Danio rerio: one gene and its partner. The protein of the gene in region 1 interacts with the protein of each later gene in a pairwise test. Links are inferred from orthologs where the notes say so. Each region holds a gene or a part of one and is shown in the gene's direction. Other genes may lie near its edges.

What was found.
Region 2: the proteins of pdcd4b (region 1) and eif4a2 interact in binary tests that used the Homo sapiens proteins (3 or more experiments, as listed by UniProt). The two-hybrid records come from large-scale screens. The link is inferred for Danio rerio from reciprocal best matches to the Homo sapiens genes PDCD4 and EIF4A2.

Annotation. Positions count from the first base shown.
Region 1 is NC_133197.1:31,538,680-31,542,510, reverse strand, and holds part of pdcd4b (programmed cell death protein 4b), read left to right. Parts: intron 1-1,434; coding exon 1,435-1,545; intron 1,546-1,625; coding exon 1,626-1,765; intron 1,766-3,831. UniProt on the Homo sapiens protein: Inhibits translation initiation and cap-dependent translation. May excert its function by hindering the interaction between EIF4A1 and EIF4G. Inhibits the helicase activity of EIF4A. Modulates the activation of JUN kinase.
Region 2 is NC_133177.1:8,053,977-8,057,807, forward strand, and holds part of eif4a2 (eukaryotic initiation factor 4A-II), read left to right. Parts: intron 1-1,024; coding exon 1,025-1,157; intron 1,158-1,315; coding exon 1,316-1,455; exon of another isoform or gene 1,456-1,540; intron 1,541-1,781; exon of another isoform or gene 1,782-1,852; intron 1,853-1,942; coding exon 1,943-2,111; intron 2,112-2,161; exon of another isoform or gene 2,162-2,232; intron 2,233-2,301; coding exon 2,302-2,411; intron 2,412-2,434; exon of another isoform or gene 2,435-2,613; intron 2,614-3,831. UniProt on the Homo sapiens protein: ATP-dependent RNA helicase which is a subunit of the eIF4F complex involved in cap recognition and is required for mRNA binding to ribosome.

The DNA of each region.
Region 1 (3,831 bases):
TCATAATATTCATTTATGACCACTTTTTAGTTGCATATCACACAATAAAGTGAATTTTGTATAAAGTCATGGTGTACACACAATAAAAAAAATCCATTCCACTTTCTGGCCATGGAATATTAGGCATATATATATACACACACACATTGTGATCATGATTTCCGAAAGTATTACATCACCTTGTAAGCGTTTATTATTACCATTTGTTGAGCCTCTCCATACAGTTAGAGTGCCTGGACCAGGAAGTCGCTTCACGGAACATCACACTTAACAAGTGAATAATTTGTATACATTTATACCTTAAAAATCTGAATACTGGATGAAAATTATTTTAAAATAACATACCATATACCAAATAACATCAAAATATTTCTGTTTTATGTTGTTTATAATTGTTTAAATAAGCCAAAATAATACATGCCGAACAGCTTTTTAAGATCTCAAAGTTTTAGCTCATAAAAAGGAGAAAGTTCAAGAAACTGGCTGATAAACGGAAGAAAAGGCGGCATTTTTTCAATGCATCCATGTGTACGAACTTTTTTTTCAACGCGATAATTCATTTGACAGTCGTGTGTTAGCAGACCACTGTAATAAATTTATAAAAGCAACACTGACGACCCATGTTTCTAAACAAATTTTCTTCCATTTATTTAATTACGGTTGGCAACACAACATGGCGTCTCTCTGATGTCTGAACACTGTAACAGGTAAAATGCTCTTCGAAGCTATCATGCATGTTAATGAAGTTTGGTTTGAGTCGAGTCTTTTTTTTATGAATTAATGCTAAAAAAGATGTCACATTGTACAGAACGTAACGAATAAACAAAGAACGAATTTTCTGGAAATAATGCAAAAACAACCATTTTTCAAATTTTTTTGTTAAACGTGTGTCCTAATAGTGTTTTTTCAGGAGCATGGGACACATATAACTGTCACCATATAAAAAAACATATTTTGTGACCGTTTAAGTGACATTTAAAGGCGTAACAAGGTTAATTAGATTAATTAGATAAGTGATTGTATAATGATGGTTTGTTTTGTAGACAATCGGAAAAACAAAATATTGCTTCAGGGGCTAATAATTGTAACCTTAAAATGTTTTTTTTTTTTTTTTTTTTTTTTTTTTTTTTTTAAAGAATGCCTTCATTCAAGCTGAAACGAAACAAATGACTTTCTCCAGAAGAACAAATATTATAGAAAATACTGTGAAAAACATCCTTGCTCTAAGAAACATAATTTGGCAAATATTTAAAAAAGAAAAAAAATGTACAGGAGGCCGAATAATTGACTTTATCTGTTTATGAATGCAGTTTTTGCTTGTAGTGTCTTGTATTGTTTTAAAATATTGAATACAGTGTGAAAGGAAGAACACGAGGCTGCTGATTAGTGGTTTGCTCTTTTATTAATGATGCTTGTTTTTTTTTTTTACCTCAGGCAGTGATCATGGTGCTGGAGTCTACAGGCGAGCGGACGCTTCAGATGCTCCTGCAGTTGTTGAAGTGTCTCTGCTCCTCCACCATCATTACTGTGGATCAGATGAGACGGGTATGAAGCGCCAGCTGCTGCTCACATCGAGTTACTGCAGCTTGATGAGCATGTGTAATCTGAGCTCCATCCTCTTGCAGGGCTTTGAACGGGTGTATCTGGACATGCCGGACATCAGTATCGACGTGCCGTGTGCCTATTCGATCCTGGAGCGGTTTGTGGAGCAGAGCTTTAATGCTGGAGTCATCGATAGGAAACTGCGAGACCTCTGTCCTAGTCGGTGAGTCAGAAAGCCTGTTCGTTTGTTTAAGTATAATAGATTCAATGTTTTCTTTCTGCATGCACAGTGGTTTTGAGTAATAAATTTTTTTTCCCCAAATATTTTCTAGGAATCCGGCTATGTCAATAAAATTAGATAAAAAATAAAAAAAACCACACACATTACATAATGCGAGTTTGTCACAGAATAAAAATAGGCAATATCAGGTAGAGCCTTGTAAGTCCATAGTGACTGGCTATTATATAAAGGTGGTTGTGTTGTTATTACATCATTTATATAATGATTTGTATATTATGCTTCATAAGAGTAACAATAATAAATGAATTTACAATGTATAAAAACTGATATATTATTAAAAAAAATTACTTTAATATAGACAAATGGTATTTTAGAAAACTAAGTACATAAACTACATGATGATTAAAAAATATACATCTTAAGCTGCAAGTCAAATTAATGCATTCATTTGTTATGTTGATATATAAACAGCTTGTTAATACATGTATTTTTATTATCGTTAAATAGTTTAATACACGGTTGCAGTTTATCTTAATACTATTAGATTAATTTTCATTTGATAGTATATGAGTATATAAATTACTACTACATAATCGCAAAATGATACTACGCTATTGTCATCATTATTAAAATTTTATTAATATATTTGGTTTTTGTAGTGTATACAATTAATATTCTAATTTTATTAGCATTTTAAGAAATATAACTGATTATATTAGTGTAAATAATATATTTTTGATAATAATGCTATGTTAATATTATTAACATGTTGTTGTTGTTGTTGTTATTATAATAATAGTATATTACTTGTAGCACATTTACAATAATACTGTTGGTTTTATTTATTTTATAAAAATGTTTGTTTTTGGTAATATTAACTACAACAGAGTATTAAGGAAGTCCCTTTGAGGCAGGCTTGTCAAACTCAGTTCCTGGAGAGCCGCAGCCTTGCAGTTTAGTTCCAACCCTGCTCCGACATGCATCCCTGTTAGTTTCAAACAAGCCTGAAGGACTGCAGTAGTTTGATCAGGTGTGTTTAACTAGAGTTAAGCCTGTTTCACATGGCAAGCGTAAGTGGCGCGTGAGCAGAGCATGAGCAGAGTGTGTTTTTTCGACATCCATGTTAACAGATTAGATCTTTCATACCTCACACAGCAGCAGCGCATCAGCGTGAGTCGTAAGCGTCGCTGAAGCAGCAGTTTCGTCGCTGGGTCTATTTTTGCCATGCTGCTCACGCTCAATTAAAGTGACAGTGCATTGCTAATGACCAAAACACATTGAATGACAGTAGAAAGTAGCAATTTTACCTAATAAATGCGCTAATATTATCAACTGATTTTTATTTAGTCAATCAAATAAACTCAAACGATCAAAAACTGCAACAAATATTTATTTAGGTCCGAACTACAAAACCAAGTTCAAAACAACTTTAGTATCAGTTTTGCTTAAGTTGCACACTAGTGTTGCAGGAGAGGGGAAGTGGCCACTTTAAGACTGCTGTTTACGGGAGTTGTAGTCCATAGCGGCGTGTATTGTGGGTAGTGTAGTTCGACACGCATGCTGGGTGATGTGAGCTCGCTGTGTGCTGTGCAGCTGAAGCAAAGTTTCAAGAGTATCTGAATGCAGCCTTTATGTTGCAACCTGAGACCGCATCACTCAGAGATGCAATGTCAGACACAATGCACTCAAATGTAGCTAGTGACGTCACTGTGAGGGGTAGGGTTAGGGTTGGGGTTAGGTGAGCCCATTAAAAAGCATTGGGTGCAGCCCAGATTGCACTGCACCAGGTCTGCATCCAGACCCCTCTCGAAAGTTTTATTCAGCTTTGTTTTATGTTCACTCAAGTTATTCCACCTGGGAGCTGTTTGCACTGTGAACCTGACAAAACGAAAATAAGTTAAAGAAGGGCAGGCATTGATTACTCTTGTCTGTCTCATCCTTTACACGAGTTGTGACTCTGCCAACAACAACCTGACAATGAAAAACTAAATGACATGAGATCACAGGCGATTGTCTTCTAACTGTAGACATGAATGACACTACTCATA
Region 2 (3,831 bases), on another chromosome or scaffold:
TATCAATTAATAATGAATTAATGGTTCTGCTTTTCTTCAAAGCACTTGAACGCACCAACCTCATATACTATTTGAGAAGTTTGGAATGGGGACTTTCTGACATCAAATGCAGCCAGCAAAGAATGTTTGTTCCCACTTAATTTTCAAACAATTCTTTCCGTGTTTTTTTTTTTTTTTTTTTTTTCAATCATTTGAAGCAACAATTACCCCCTCTTTGATGCAATTTGTCAATCTAGGTTTTTCCTGTCGCACAGTGGGTGTTAAAGTTGTAGAATTTTTATCAAAAGGAAATTGTTATTGTTTTAGATTTTTCTTCTATATTATCATTATTATTATTATTTATATATTTTACCTTGTACATTTATTGCTGTTAATGACTTAATTCTTAGAATATTTTTACTTGATCTATTTTCATTTTGCCATTACATAGCCATAGACGCTAAAATGGCAATAAAATTAAAACTCTCTCTCTCACACAGTGTGTTATTACATAAATTTTGAAGTGAGATTAATATCCAAAAACAAGTGACATGCATGTGTACATGCATTGTCATCAGACCTTCCGCATTTAAATCAAGGCTGCACTTAAATCTTGCTTTTTAACTGGTCATTTTGAGGTTGTTGGACTTCATGTTAAGTTCTCAATATTTGTTACAGTCTGTCCTTAGTTTGATTAACCTTTTTTTCAAAATCTTTTATCTTCTTTAACCCTCAAATGGGATCAAGGTAGAGTAAGCTATAGTTCTTGTCAGAGATTTGGTGGAGAATTCATACAAAGTTTTAGTGGACTTTGTGCAGTTATAAAAAAAAATGCTACCCCTGACTAACATCTTGGAAATAAAAAATCAACAAACTTTGATTGATTGACATCGCAGAATATAGAAAGTGATAGCTTAACTTGATGTCTACTCCAAATAAATGCAATAGCCTTAAGTTGGAGAATTTCTAATATTGAAGTAAGATGTTCAACATTTAAGTGTAATCAATCTGATTCTCATTGAATCTCATATACATTGTTTTACAGAGCAACTGGAATGAGATTACGGACAATTTCGATGACATGAACTTGAAGGAAACTCTCCTTCGTGGAATATATGCATATGGTTTTGAGAAACCCTCAGCAATTCAGCAGAGAGCTATAATTCCCTGCATAAAAGGTAAAGTGAGCTCAAGTTACAAATAGTTTTTAATTACCTCTCTGGTAATCAAACTGTACATATTGATCCGGTTTTAGTATTGCTCATCTCTTTGTAGACTAACAGTTAAGTAGTTTCCATTTTTGTTGTCCTTTTATTGATGCTTGATTTCTCCATAGGTTATGATGTTATCGCGCAGGCCCAATCAGGGACTGGTAAAACGGCCACGTTTGCCATTTCCATCCTGCAGCAGCTGGAGATTGAGCAGAAAGAGACTCAGGCTCTGGTCCTGGCACCAACCCGAGAGCTCGCTCAGCAGGTATGCTGTACCTGAGCTCACAATAACACAATAAGATGTGTGTCTCAGACCAAGGCGGCATATTCTGGCAGTAGCCAAATTCAAGGTACTCTTTTGCTGTTCTTCCTGCTTTATCAGTCAATAAATGTGGATTTTGTTTGTAATTTGCATAATTTGATCATCTGTTCAGCAGGAAGCAGTCATCCATGTAGTTTTTCGGGCAGATTAATCGATCAATCATTCTTTAATGAGCTGGATTATTTACTGCTAGTGTTTGGAAATTAGGTTGTTAGACTGCCAGGTGATTTTTTTTGACAATTATTGTAACTGTATAGAGCTTTGCACAAGTATGAAATGATGGTATGACTATCTTTCGGGACTGACCTTTTGTGGAGAAGACCTTTTCAACTGATCATACTTGTCCAGTGCTTTGCATTAATGGTACACAGTACTTGTGTTTACTAGGTGTTCCTTTCATTTAAACTCTGCATTTTTGTCTATGCTTTAGATTCAGAAGGTAATCTTGGCTTTGGGTGACTACATGGGTGCTTCATGCCATGCCTGCATTGGAGGCACCAATGTGCGGAACGAAATGCAAAAGCTCCAGGCGGAGGCTCCGCACATTGTGGTTGGCACACCAGGCCGTGTGTTTGACATGCTGAACAGGCGGTATCTGTGTAAGTAATCGATACACATAGATTTAGTCTGAAACAACATGCAGGGCAAAGTATGAAGTGATGGCATCATCTTTCGGGACTGACCTGTTATGGAGATAATCACTAATTTAACTGATCATACTTTTTGACCAGCTTGTTTGAGCTGTTTAAGCGTATAAGAAGTAAAATACGTAATGTTGTTTACTTCCAGCTCCCAAATGGATCAAGATGTTTGTCCTTGATGAAGCTGATGAAATGCTGAGCCGTGGCTTCAAGGATCAAATCTATGAGATTTTCCAGAAATTAAGCACAAACATTCAAGTAAGTCTAGAATCTTTATAGACCCCTTCTGCTCAAAAGAACTGTGCTAAAATTGCAGACTCCAGGGTCTCCTGGTTTATGCGATGATGCTAGCAGAGTATCATGCGGAAGAAGAGCAATGGCTCTGCGCTGGAAATGAAACTGAGTTGGACCTCTTTCTTAATGTCCAGTGGCTTATGTTTCAAGGCTCAGAGCAACAAACATATTGATTGGAACACATTGTGGAAGAAATACTAGCATCACTATTTTTCTTTTTCTTTCATAATGGCAGAATCATAATCAAATTAACTCTTATTAAAACTGTGTTGAATTGCAAGATAATACATATCAATCTTGAGCTGCACAATATTGTGTTCCACCATTAGTTGTTGTACTTGCACATGCCATGTAATATGAATGCAGGAGATGTCAGTTTTCACTGCTTGTGCTTTTGTAGTTCACTAAAAGACCATATCTACCCATTTAAAAAAAAAAAAAAAAAAAAAGCTTTTTTAAATGGTTGTTTTCAGGCCCCCAGAGTGCCGTTTTGTGAATGAATGTCTCAATCTTGTGCATCTTTTATTTCATATGATCATGTAAAGAACATGGTCATCACAGGATTCATACTAGAATATCTTGAATATAATGGAATTTTAAAATCTCCTTTTCAGACATTAAAAATATGGCTATTCCAATTCATGGGATATCAGGAACCTTTTTTTGCTTTTTAGTTTTTACCACTGTTAAACATTTTATTTTTTTCACATGTTTTGCCAACTGGTACTGTTGAGCTATTTTTCAGCGCCATTTGAATCCTTTCAAATTCATCATTTAAGTCAGTGGTTCCCAATTGGAACCTTACAAGCAAATTACCTTAAGTCACTGGAACTTAAGTCAAATGCAGTCATGAAGCTGTACCTGTTAACTGAAGCAAACATGCCAGGAAAATGTCAGCTTCAAGAACTTTGGCTACGAAATGGCCACTTCAGACAATTGGTCTTATGCTGTGTTCATGCCAGACGTGGATAAAGCTTCGAGTGCAAGTGATTTACATGTCAATTCAATGCACAGTTGCGATTAGGCTCTAGTTGGAAAATCTGAACTTAAGTGGACATTCGTGCTGTTAACCAATCAGAAGCTTGCTCTTGTAGTGGATTGATAATGACGTAGTGCCTGTTGTAGGTGACCTGAGGGGAAATCCTCTTGCTGGCACCGGACAACAGCTCATAAAGCTGGGTTCGGCTCAGTCTGAAGCACTGCTAAAAGCTTCCATCCATGTGAAGTTTCTGAAGGAGTTTGAGCTCTCAGAGCTGGGTGGACCTCAGAAAGGATCCAGTGAACTCGCACCCTATTCACATTGGGCTTCAAAGGTTCCAATTCACTTTGAATGAATGAGGTCAGGCGTTGCCGAACTGCATTGTGGCTATGTCGGCGGCGCTTC